3 linked regions of the Arabidopsis thaliana genome follow. The protein of the gene in region 1 interacts with the protein of each later gene in a pairwise test. Each region holds a gene or a part of one and is shown in the gene's direction. Other genes may lie near its edges.

Region 1 (3,746 bases):
GATGGGCTTGCTTAGATGTGCCGAATCCAATTCTCGTTTTTGGGTCTATCTATATTTGGGCTGGGCTTTATAAGAGGCGAAGCCCATGTCGAACAATCAATTTTTTTTTAATTTTATATTTCTTTTGGGAGTCTGTTCTGTCGTATTGATTAATAAAGTAAAAAATCTTAGCCACAAAATTAAATCATCTCCAAGACGTATCAATATCATCATCAATCCACCAATGAAAAGTTCTCTCTTTTTTTTTCCCACTCTTACTCTGTTCTCGCTACAGAATCTCCTGGGAAAAAAAAAAAAGAAACTTGATCCACCCGAATTCCCCAAATCTTCACAATTTCTGGAAACTCTCTCGATCGTGAAGCAGAAAAGTGAGGTTCCAAATGGGTTCTGTTTCGGGTCAAACCCGAATTACAACGATGAACCTCTCGCTCTCAACAGCAGAGAAGAACCCTAATTTCCGCTCGTCGCTTCTCAATTCTAAGGTAATTGTTATCACTTCGTCGAGCTTCACCAAAAAAATGACTCCTTTTGCTTGATTTCTTCTTCTCCTCTTTCGCTTGTGTTTAGAACGCAATTTCAGATACTTTAGGGGTCTCTTCCAAATGCAGTACATTCCTCAGGGGTCAATTTCAAAGAATACATTTTTCTTGGCTACAACACACTCGACCTTTGAGAAAACGAACAGGTACTTGATTTGCAAACCAGACCAATCTCTTTAGAACTTTAGTTGTGATTTAGATTCTTGTTATGTTTGGTTTAGTATTTGGTCACGTGAGCTGCGTCATGCCGTTAACGGAAGAGAATGTGGAGAGAGTGTTAGACGAAGTACGACCATCTCTAATGGCCGACGGAGGAAACGTGGCGTTGCACGAAATCGACGGACTTGTGGTGGTTTTAAAGCTACAAGGAGCTTGTGGTTCGTGTCCTAGCTCATCAATGACGTTGAAGATGGGAATCGAGAGTCGTCTTCGAGACAAGATTCCAGAGATCATGTCCGTTGAGCAGTTTCTTGAATCCGAGACAGGAGGTTTAGAGCTGAACGATGAGAACATTGAGAAGGTTTGGTTTTTTAAAGGTTTAGTTATTTTTGGTTTATTAGCCCCTTGGTTTTGAAATTGATCTGAATGGTCCTTTTTTGGTTTGTTGTCAATTTAGGTTCTCTCTGAGTTAAGGCCGTACCTATCCGGTACTGGAGGTGGGGGGCTTGAGTTAGTTGAGATTGATGGTTACGTGGTCAAGGTTCGACTCACTGGACCAGCTGCTGGAGTCATGACTGTTCGTGTCGCGTTGACTCAAAAACTGAGGGAAACAATTCCTTCTATAGGTGCAGTCCAGCTTCTAGAGTGACATTAACCTTTTTATTTTGTAACTTATATACAAGGCCTATTTTTGATTCAATATATTTTATTTCCAATTATATAATTAGTACAACTAATACAATAACCATTTCTGTTGAAGAAAAAGGAAAAGAAAAAAAAAGTATCCTATGTATGAAGGACATTTTCTCTAGTGATCCTTGTTTTTAGGTAACAGTTATAAAATATTCATGACTTGACTACACAAAGATAATCGAACTTAAAGAGTTATTTCCTTAAACCAATTATTCTCTAATTAAATATGCATTTATAGCGAGTTCTTGGTGAGCAAGGATACTAGAATCTCTATAATAAGTCGGACATAAGAAGATATGAGGAAACACAGACATAACATAGTTAAGAGTTTCAACAATGTCAAAGCTTATAATCAACCGAATATTCAAACCCTCTGTCTGCAAAAATTTCCTCGTACGTAAGCTTCTCTTGCTTTTTCTTTTTAACTTTAATTTTGTTCTTGTTGTCTCTGAATACTTGAACATAACTATGGCAGAGACACGCAAACGTTCGTCTGTTCTCATCTGCAACTCACACGAGTACTAAAGTGAATCAGCCCTTCTCGTCTAAACCAGCCTTCCCGTTTCTGTTGATTGACTACATCCTAAACAACCCAAACTCTTCCTCCGATGGTCGCGTAACAACAAACGTTTACGGTAATGAAAAGGAAGTCTTGATTAAGGACAAGGATCTTAAGGAGGAGGTCTGTGATGCGATGACTGTCGGGTTTTCTCGTGATGGGTTGCGAGTCGAGCTTTGTGGCAACCACGGCGATGTATGTTCTCCCACCATCTTTTACAAGCCTACTGACCCCGAAATAGAAGACTTGACCGTTGATCTACCTCCTCTACCGACGGGTTCACAAATCCAAAGCCTGGTCATGTCCTCTTTACCTAAACGAGACAAAAATTGGGTAGTTGTTGTCAAGTTATTGGGATCTCAGTTGAGTATGTGCAGGCCTTTTGGCAGCCGTAAATGGATCAACATCCAAACCAAGCCTCAGAATATAAACCCTTCATCGAGCATCATGTTTTCCAAGAAAGAGAAAAAGTTCTACGTTCCAACTCCCGGAGGCAACATCTTGTGCTATTTGGATCCTCACTCAGAGGACGACGACCTAATTGATTTCGTGGAATTGGAGTTTGACGATCTTCCAAAATCGGTGTTTCAAGAGTTGGCCGACGTGAGTACATGTTCTAGGACAGACCACCTTGTGGAGTCACCCACCGGCCAACTTTTCCTAGTCAAGTGGTATACTATCTAATTAAAGCTATATATAGCTTTTGTCTTCATAACATATATACCAAAATCTCTAATCCTTTGCTTGAGTATCATATTGGCGCGCTTTATCATGTCTTTGCAGGTATGGAGAGGATTTAGAGGACATTGACAACACCACACTGTATAATGTAACAAAAAAGTTCATGGTGTTTAAAGAGGGAGAGAAACCGAGTTGTGTCTACACTAAGAAGATGATCTATACAGAAGACATTGGAGATCTTTGCATTTTTGTTGGACATAGTGAGGCTTTCTGCGTCCCGGCTAGCTCGTCCCCTGGCCTCAAGCCTAACTGCATCTATTTTGTGGGCTATAACTTTGGTGTTTATGATCTCACCACCAAAACTTGCACTATGTTCCTCACAAAAGATGATAATCCATTAAGGAAATTGGAATTCCCTTACTGGCCTCCTCCGGCTTCCTTTCCAGTACTAGCTCCTAATTAATTATCTCTCTTGCACGTGTTTATGTTTCGCTAATGTTATCGCTGTCTTTGCTTTCCCATGATTTCATTTAAATCCAATGTTCTCTTTTAATCTATGTTCAATGAAATTTATATTAGTGCCTTAAAAGAAGGCGAATCTATCCTACCAAAAAAAAAAGAAGGCGAATCTAAACGAATTCGGTTAATTCATCATATTTCTCAATTAATATACGTAAGACACACTTTGGCACAAAACTTATATAATTATTTATTTCCTGAAACAAGTTATCCTCTAAATATGTATATTTAATGTCCTAAGGTGTAGTACCCTCGGTATTCACTAGACAGAGACGGGGAAGACGAAAGAGTCGCACGTCAAATCAAAATCACAACACATATTTTGAGTGTTGTTACATTATTTTGTGGTGGATCACTATGTGGAGTCACCCTCCGGTGAACAATTCCTCGTCAAGTGGTATATATACTATAGACATTGCTTTTGAATAAACAATTATACAAACTATTAGGTTAATTACTCAACATTTTAATTTGATTTAATGGCTCCTCACCAAACACAAGAAGAGAGGTGAAACATGTTATCTTATTTGTTCTTCCATGCATTTGTTTTTAGGTACGGCCACAACTTAATGCGCAATCACAACAAAGTGGAAACA
Region 2 (3,756 bases), on another chromosome or scaffold:
CCCATTAAACCAAACTGCAATGGCTTGCCCAGCTTTTCCTTTGTGCCCTCTGGCAATAACTGAGGCAGAGCGCGGGATCCCCAGCATTCTAAAGAGAGTTAGGGCAATGTTTGAAAAGGTAAGATCTCTCTGTGCACTTATCTAATCTTGTGCCATTACAGGCATTTGATATTGATGTGCAAAACTTCTTCCTTGTATCAGGTTGGTCTGGACTACGACGAGTCTGTTGTGATAAGAGTAACCGGTTGTCCAAACGGCTGTGCAAGACCGTACATGGCTGAGCTCGGTCTAGTCGGGGATGGTCCCAACAGCTATCAGGTACGGTTGGAGCACAAGCTCTTGTTACTAGTGATGAGACAGTATAGTAGTAAGCAAGCAGGCTAATATTCTGAGTTGTTGTCGGTTGTGCAGGTTTGGCTAGGAGGAACACCGAACCTGACCCAGATAGCGAGAAGTTTCATGGATAAGGTTAAGGTTCACGACTTAGAGAAAGTCTGCGAGCCATTGTTCTATCACTGGAAACTAGAGAGGCAAACTAAAGAATCATTTGGAGAATACACAACCCGCATGGTAAGTATCACATATAACTTCTCTTTAACTCTCTCACTGTGGCTTGAACATTTATATTGAAGAAGAAGAAAAAACAAATGACTGTGTTTTTTAACTTTAACAATGGTAAAATTGCAGGGATTCGAGAAACTGAAGGAGCTGATAGATACATACAAAGGAGTTTCTCAATGAGCACAACAGAGATCATCTTTCGTTTTATAATTCATGTAATGTAATGTCTCTGTCTGAACTGTTACTCTTCGGTAACTCTGATGGAGAACTTGTTCTCGTTTTGGTTTGATTTTGTACCCTCTTTTTTTTTTTTGTTTTTTTGGATTGCTTTGTCTTTGATTGGATAATGAAGCATTACTGTATCAAGGCTAATTAGCCCATCAATAAGCCTTTTTAAAGCTCTGGATATGGAAAAGTCAGAACCTCTCTCTCTTATCTCTCTAAATTTTAGAGAGAGAGAGATTTTGTTCGATGTTTTGCATGCTTTACCAGCTTATGAATCCGGATGTGATCCGGTTTTGTCGATCTATCTCGCTGTCCTATCTCGCCGTCCGGTGTATCCGGTGTTGTTTACGGCTATCCCGTTGCCGTTCTGTTTGTTTCACCGAATTGATTTGGGAAACAATTTGATATCAGTTTTTTCTTCTTTTCTAACTGGAAATTTTCATGGCCTTCTCTCGATCCGTTCCACCACCATCCACAATCAGGTAAGTGTTTTGGTGTTTCGATTGGGCGACTGTTTTAGTCTCATCCACATGAATCAATATCCAGATTTGGGCGAATTCTGGGTTGCTTGACTCCTTCCAACCGTTATAGTTGAAACGGTCCGGCGTTTTTGACGGCTTCAATCACCTCATTTGAGGTCCGTCTTGCCATTCCAGGAAGTCAAGATATCAATTTCCGAAGTCTATTCTTATTAGCAAGTGATGACAAGAGATCAGAAGCTTCACCTCGTGGTTGATTGTTTGCTGACAACTTCTTTCATGCTTTTGTTCTCGGAAAAGATCCAGTGATGAGAAGAGAAAGAATTTGAAGATTAAATTGAATCTTTTATCTTTTTCGGTTTAATAGTTGTTTGTTTTTATAATCCGGAGATGTTTCCGGTTGTTCACTCGCCGGAAATTGTGCCGGCTTCTGTCTGCATATTTTGCTGAAGGGGTTGTGGGTACCGGTTTACTAGGTTATCCGGTTCACCCGGTTTGTAAGATTGGTTTAATGAATAAAAATCCCTTATGAGAAAAAAAAAAAAGCTCTGGATATCATTTGATTACTCCTCTTTCTAAGATGGCTTCTTATGCTTTTTCTTTCTGTTGTTGCTCAGTTGCTCTGTTTAAATATGGACTGTTTTTTTAACCCACAAGTAAAACATTTTGAGAAATTTACACACCACTGTAATTTTTTAATGTCCACAATTATTTAAAAAAACATATTCACACATAAAAAACAGAATGGACGGGAGGGGTATAACTGGAAATTTTTTCACATCGATTAAATTGGTTGAAAACCTAATCGCCTTAAACCCTAATTGTATCATCCTCTTCCTTGCGTTCTCTCTTTCTCTCTCTCGCCGACGACGAAAACATGGGTGCCAAGGCGAAGAAAGCTTTGAAGAAGAACATGAAGAAGGTTGCTGCTTCGGCTTCTTCTTCTCAGCTACCTCTTCCCCAGAACCCGAAACCTTCAGCTGATTTTTTGGTATTTCCTTCGATACTTTCTCTTACTACCACCATTGTTTCGATTTCGTATCAGACTCTTTAGGGTTTTACATTGAATCTCTCTGTATGGGTTTTTGTTGATAGCCACTAGAAGGAGGTCCAGCTCGAAAAGCTCCAGTTACCACCCCACCTCTTCAGAATAAAGCTACTGTGCTATACATCGGTAGAATCCCTCATGGCTTCTATGAGACTGAGATTGAAGGTATAAATTTACACCCTTTATTATTGTGTTTGCTCAATTTAATGCCCTTTGTTGTCACAAACTTGCTAATATGAATAAACCTTTTTATTATCTATCTATGGTTTATGTGTTTGATAATCTGGTTTTCCTTTCTGGGTTATAGCTTTCTTCTCGCAGTTTGGAACAGTTAAGAGAGTTAGAGTCGCCAGAAACAAAAAGGTTATACATTGATTGATACTTTATTTTGTTTGCTCTTGTTTGATACGATGTGCTCTTTCTTAACTCTTTGAATTTGTATTCGTCTTAACAGACTGGGAAATCAAAGCATTTTGGGTTCATACAGTTTGAGGACCCTGAGGTATACTTTAGATTCTGTATAAAATTGGTGAAACCGTTGTGTGCTATATATATACTCTAGATTCAATTCTTGACATTTTTATTTGGTTCTCTGCAGGTGGCGGAAATTGCAGCGGGTGCAATGAATGATTATTTGTTGATGGAGCACATGCTTAAAGTCCATGTCATTGAACCAGAGAATGTTAAACCCAATCTGTGAGTGATTTTAATCGACTTTTTTTCGTAGTGATCAGGGATCTTCTTTGCAAATAGTTAGTTGGCATATCTAATTGTGTAGGTTAGCTATTTTACTTGGCTGCTTATGTACTTTGTGCTATATTGTTGAATGAAAGAGCTCTATATAACAATATACTATCTCGTGTGGTTTAGCGCAAGCTTTGAAGTACAATGTTCTATGGTTTACAGAGTGAGACTTAATGACATTTGAGTCATAGGATGATACTAGATAGGATGTGATAAAATAAGTGAGGATAAAAGAGAGTTTATTGAAAGATCGTTTTCTTGGCTGAGATGGTTTTATTTATGAGTCATAAAATTAGGGTAAAGAAAATGTGATTCTTGTCCCCTACCTTGGTTTCTAATGACTCCATACTCTAAAAGATGTGCGAGACTCTCTAGTGTTTCCAGAAGAGAACATGCATGACCTATTTTGAGAATTGTTCTTTTCAAGTAGTTGTGGATCTTAATGTATCTATGTCCTGAATGTTATAGGTGGAGAGGGTTTAAATGTAACTTCAAACCAGTGGATTCGGTTCAGATTGAGCGAAGACAACTTAATAAGGTTATTCTCTCCACTTTTCTTGTTATCAATATGCCATTTCTCTTGAACAAGTGGCTCTAACTTTGATTTATGTCACTGTTGTATACAGGAAAGGACATTGGAAGAGCATAGGAAAATGTTGCAGAAGATAGTTAAAAAGGATCAGAAAAGGAGGAAGAGAA
Region 3 (3,756 bases), 4.9 Mb from region 1:
CTTGTATCTGAATACGCAAAGTTGAAATTAAATATCAAACAAATGAATCCATTATTAAAACAATAATAATAAAGTGGAAGGTGAACCAAATCCCACGTCCCAACCGCATACGGACCTAAATAATATATAGTTTTTTTTTGTTTTTGGCAGCAACCTAAATAATATAATTATCCTACTCTTTTTTAATATCAGTATATTTACTTAAAGAAAATGCCAAATTAATCAGTACATTGTGATTTCGCTTCTATATTATATTTGTGACACAAGTTTTGCTTTTATATTATAGCACATCGCTATTTCCTCCACGTCATTTACAATCCCATTAGTAGTACTACTAACAAGTAATAACATATTATTCCTAAAACAAAAAAACAAAAAAAAACAACAGAGAGAATAATTCACCTGGAGAACTATTATTCTCCCATGATGTTAAAAAACGTTTTGCATGTAGTGTTGCTGCATTTGGTTTTTCATAAAACAATATTACGAATTTGTCTCTTACAATTTAGTTGCAAGAAAAAAGAAAGAGCAGTAAATAAGTTAATTGGGTATAAATAGTGAATGTGAAAAACTGACTGATTGGGGTTTAATTTTGATTCAGATGTAAATGGACGTAAACTTTTGTTGATGAATTGAAGAATCTTGGCCTTTAGCTAAGAACCTAACCTTCTAGAAGAGGGCCATCATCATGCATGAGGTGAGTGATTTTGTACCAATAGATTAAACAAATTGAAATTCAACTACTCTCTCTCTCTCTCTCTCTCTTTTTCGGTTTTTTCATCTTTTTCAATAAACCATTATTCTTTTTCGTTTCTTCTCACATTTTCCACCTAACTTACCAAATTTCACAATTAAGTTCAACTTTTTTTGTTTAGCATACATGGACAGTACACAGTAGATACTATAGTTTAATTATTCTCTCCTATATACTGTTATGTGTTCTATTCTTCAACTATTCTCCTGACATACGAATTACTACATACGTATATGATTAGTGTTGTCGATCGTATTCTAAAAATATAGATACGATTAGTGCTATAATAATATTCCGTCCAGTTAGAGTTCAACATTATTAAAAAAATATCTCTTAATAAGTCTTGATTTTTCAAGTCTCTAATATGAAAGAAATAGAAGTTGGTTAGAGAAAACCATTCTAAGTCAAGGTTCTAGAAGGCACATTCTTTAATTCAAATAGTTTATCATATATGTATATTTCTAATTTATATGTATGTGTCATGGTGGTTCTTGTTGTATTGTTTTTATACTGAAATATTAAAGAAACATGAGCATCATCACAAATATTTTAAACATGAAGTGCTTGTCATTTGGTGAGAGTAATTTGAAAACCATATATAAGTTACAAGTTATCCTGCCCACACATATAATTAGTTATTTGATAATGCTTTGTTTAATTAGCAAGTGATTGTATTAGGGTTAAGTTCTAGATATATTATTGATTAAAAAAACAATAACTAATCCAGTGCAGTCTATATATTAGAGAAAAGACTGTTGACCAGTACAACAAAAACCTCATAGGCTATATAGTTGACCTGCACTTGTCCAAAAAACACTCATTAACTTTACCACCTACCTCCACTACTTCATTATATCTTCTCTTCGTTATTGCTACCAAATTATTCAAGTTTCCCCTTCCTTTGTTAGACCCAAATTTTTACTTGTGACCTATAATATCTGGCGATAAAAGCCATTCACAAACTTTTTGTTTTACTGAATTTTAGGTTTTCTACATTAATTTTCACCCGCCTAAGTTTTACTACAAACTTAATTCATACGATAGGTAAGAGACTCCAAAAAAATAAAAATAAATTACTGTTTGTACTAAATCGGTCGAAGTTAAAAGACGATTTGTCAATAAATGTACACAGTCGAATACTCGAATTGTCATGTATTGATTAATTTCTTGACAGAGTTGGTTTATATTTTGTACTAAATAAAACTTGTTGCAAAGTAAAAAAAGAAAGAAAAAAAATTAAAGAAGTAGCTAAATAATTTTGGTTTATGTATATACGAACACGAGAAATTTCTTTGATTACATATATATATATATATATATATTTAAGTGAGAAATATTAAATTTGTTGTCATGATTATTAAAAAAATGTCATAGCTTTATCAAAAGACTATGATGCCATATATGTCAAGCTTCTCACTTATTGTACCAAAACGAAAGGCCACCATACACTACTCATTCAAATCCATCCCACCAACTCACATCTAGAAGCAATTATAAGTTCAACTCTCTTTCTCTCTCCTTTTCTATCATCTAGAAGCATTTGTGTATATATATATATGTGTGTATATTCCTCTCTAGCTTTAAGTCAAAACCCTATATAAACTATACACCAAAGCTTTGAACCTTCAACCAAACCCAAAATCCAAGTGCCCCACCAAATGCTTCAATCCTCTTCCACTACACAAAAAAACAACTTAATCCCTTTATACCCTTTTAGCCAAAACCCTCGCTAAAAGCCAATCCCTCAATATAAAATAACAAGTAGAATTGATCTGCCTATATATAAGATTTTGAGACGAAATAAGATCTAAACCACAAGAAAGAAAGTAAACATAAAAGTATGGGAAGGTCACCGTGCTGTGAGAAAGCTCACACAAACAAAGGAGCATGGACGAAAGAAGAGGACGAGAGGCTCGTCGCCTACATTAAAGCTCATGGAGAAGGCTGCTGGAGATCTCTCCCCAAAGCCGCCGGACTTCTTCGCTGTGGCAAGAGCTGCCGTCTCCGGTGGATCAACTATCTCCGGCCTGACCTTAAGCGTGGAAACTTCACCGAGGAAGAAGACGAACTCATCATCAAGCTCCATAGCCTTCTTGGCAACAAGTGAGTACTATACTCTCTAAATATGGGCTTATTTAACTAGCTAGTATCGTTTATACCCAAAAAAAAACAAAAAAAACTAGTATCGTTTTAATTTATACAAAATGAAAATCTTGGAGTTTTCAATCTATCTAAATGATGTTATTTTTTGTTGATGATATATAGATGGTCGCTTATTGCCGGGAGATTACCGGGAAGAACAGATAACGAGATAAAGAACTATTGGAACACGCATATACGAAGAAAGCTTATAAACAGAGGGATTGATCCAACGAGTCATAGACCAATCCAAGAATCATCAGCTTCTCAAGATTCTAAACCTACACAACTAGAACCAGTTACGAGTAATACCATTAATATCTCATTCACTTCTGCTCCAAAGGTCGAAACGTTCCATGAAAGTATAAGCTTTCCGGGAAAATCAGAGAAAATCTCAATGCTTACGTTCAAAGAAGAAAAAGATGAGTGCCCAGTTCAAGAAAAGTTCCCAGATTTGAATCTTGAGCTCAGAATCAGTCTTCCTGATGATGTTGATCGTCTTCAAGGGCATGGAAAGTCAACAACGCCACGTTGTTTCAAGTGCAGCTTAGGGATGATAAACGGCATGGAGTGCAGATGCGGAAGAATGAGATGCGATGTAGTCGGAGGTAGCAGCAAGGGGAGTGACATGAGCAATGGATTTGATTTTTTAGGGTTGGCAAAGAAAGAGACCACTTCTCTTTTGGGCTTTCGAAGCTTGGAGATGAAATAATATTGTCAAATTTTAGGCGTAACTGTACAAAACTTTTGCCTAGATAATTTGAAAGTATATCTTCAACTTGTATGAGAAATTTAACTGGTGAATTATAATATATAGAATTTGTTTTTTTTTCTCTTTTACAAATTAACTCCATTGGCATAAA

The links.
Region 2: the proteins of AT4G25920 (region 1) and AT5G04600 interact in a two-hybrid assay, tested with the Arabidopsis thaliana proteins (one large-scale study listed by BioGRID).
Region 3: the proteins of AT4G25920 (region 1) and MYB4 interact in a two-hybrid assay, tested with the Arabidopsis thaliana proteins (one large-scale study listed by BioGRID).

Annotation. Positions count from the first base shown.
Region 1 is NC_003075.7:13,163,748-13,167,493, forward strand, and holds AT4G25920 (hypothetical protein (DUF295)), read left to right. Parts: upstream 1-1,727; coding exon 1,728-1,784; intron 1,785-1,866; coding exon 1,867-2,621; intron 2,622-2,733; coding exon 2,734-3,094; 3' UTR 3,095-3,125; downstream 3,126-3,746. Other genes in the region: NFU3 (NFU domain protein 3), read left to right, coding at 381-482, 568-685, 761-1,059, 1,156-1,347.
Region 2 is NC_003076.8:1,321,558-1,325,313, forward strand, and holds the start of AT5G04600 (RNA-binding (RRM/RBD/RNP motifs) family protein), read left to right. Parts: upstream 1-2,016; 5' UTR 2,017-2,142; coding exon 2,143-2,256; intron 2,257-2,360; coding exon 2,361-2,478; intron 2,479-2,620; coding exon 2,621-2,676; intron 2,677-2,767; coding exon 2,768-2,815; intron 2,816-2,911; coding exon 2,912-3,009; intron 3,010-3,525; coding exon 3,526-3,595; intron 3,596-3,683; coding exon 3,684-3,756. Other genes in the region: SIR (sulfite reductase), read left to right, coding at 1-118, 202-318, 412-570, 688-741.
Region 3 is NC_003075.7:18,051,272-18,055,027, forward strand, and holds the start of MYB4 (myb domain protein 4), read left to right. Parts: upstream 1-2,088; 5' UTR 2,089-2,594; coding exon 2,595-2,857; intron 2,858-3,019; coding exon 3,020-3,605; 3' UTR 3,606-3,756. UniProt on the Arabidopsis thaliana protein: Transcription repressor involved in regulation of protection against UV. Mediates transcriptional repression of CYP73A5, the gene encoding trans-cinnamate 4-monooxygenase, thereby regulating the accumulation of the UV-protectant compound sinapoylmalate.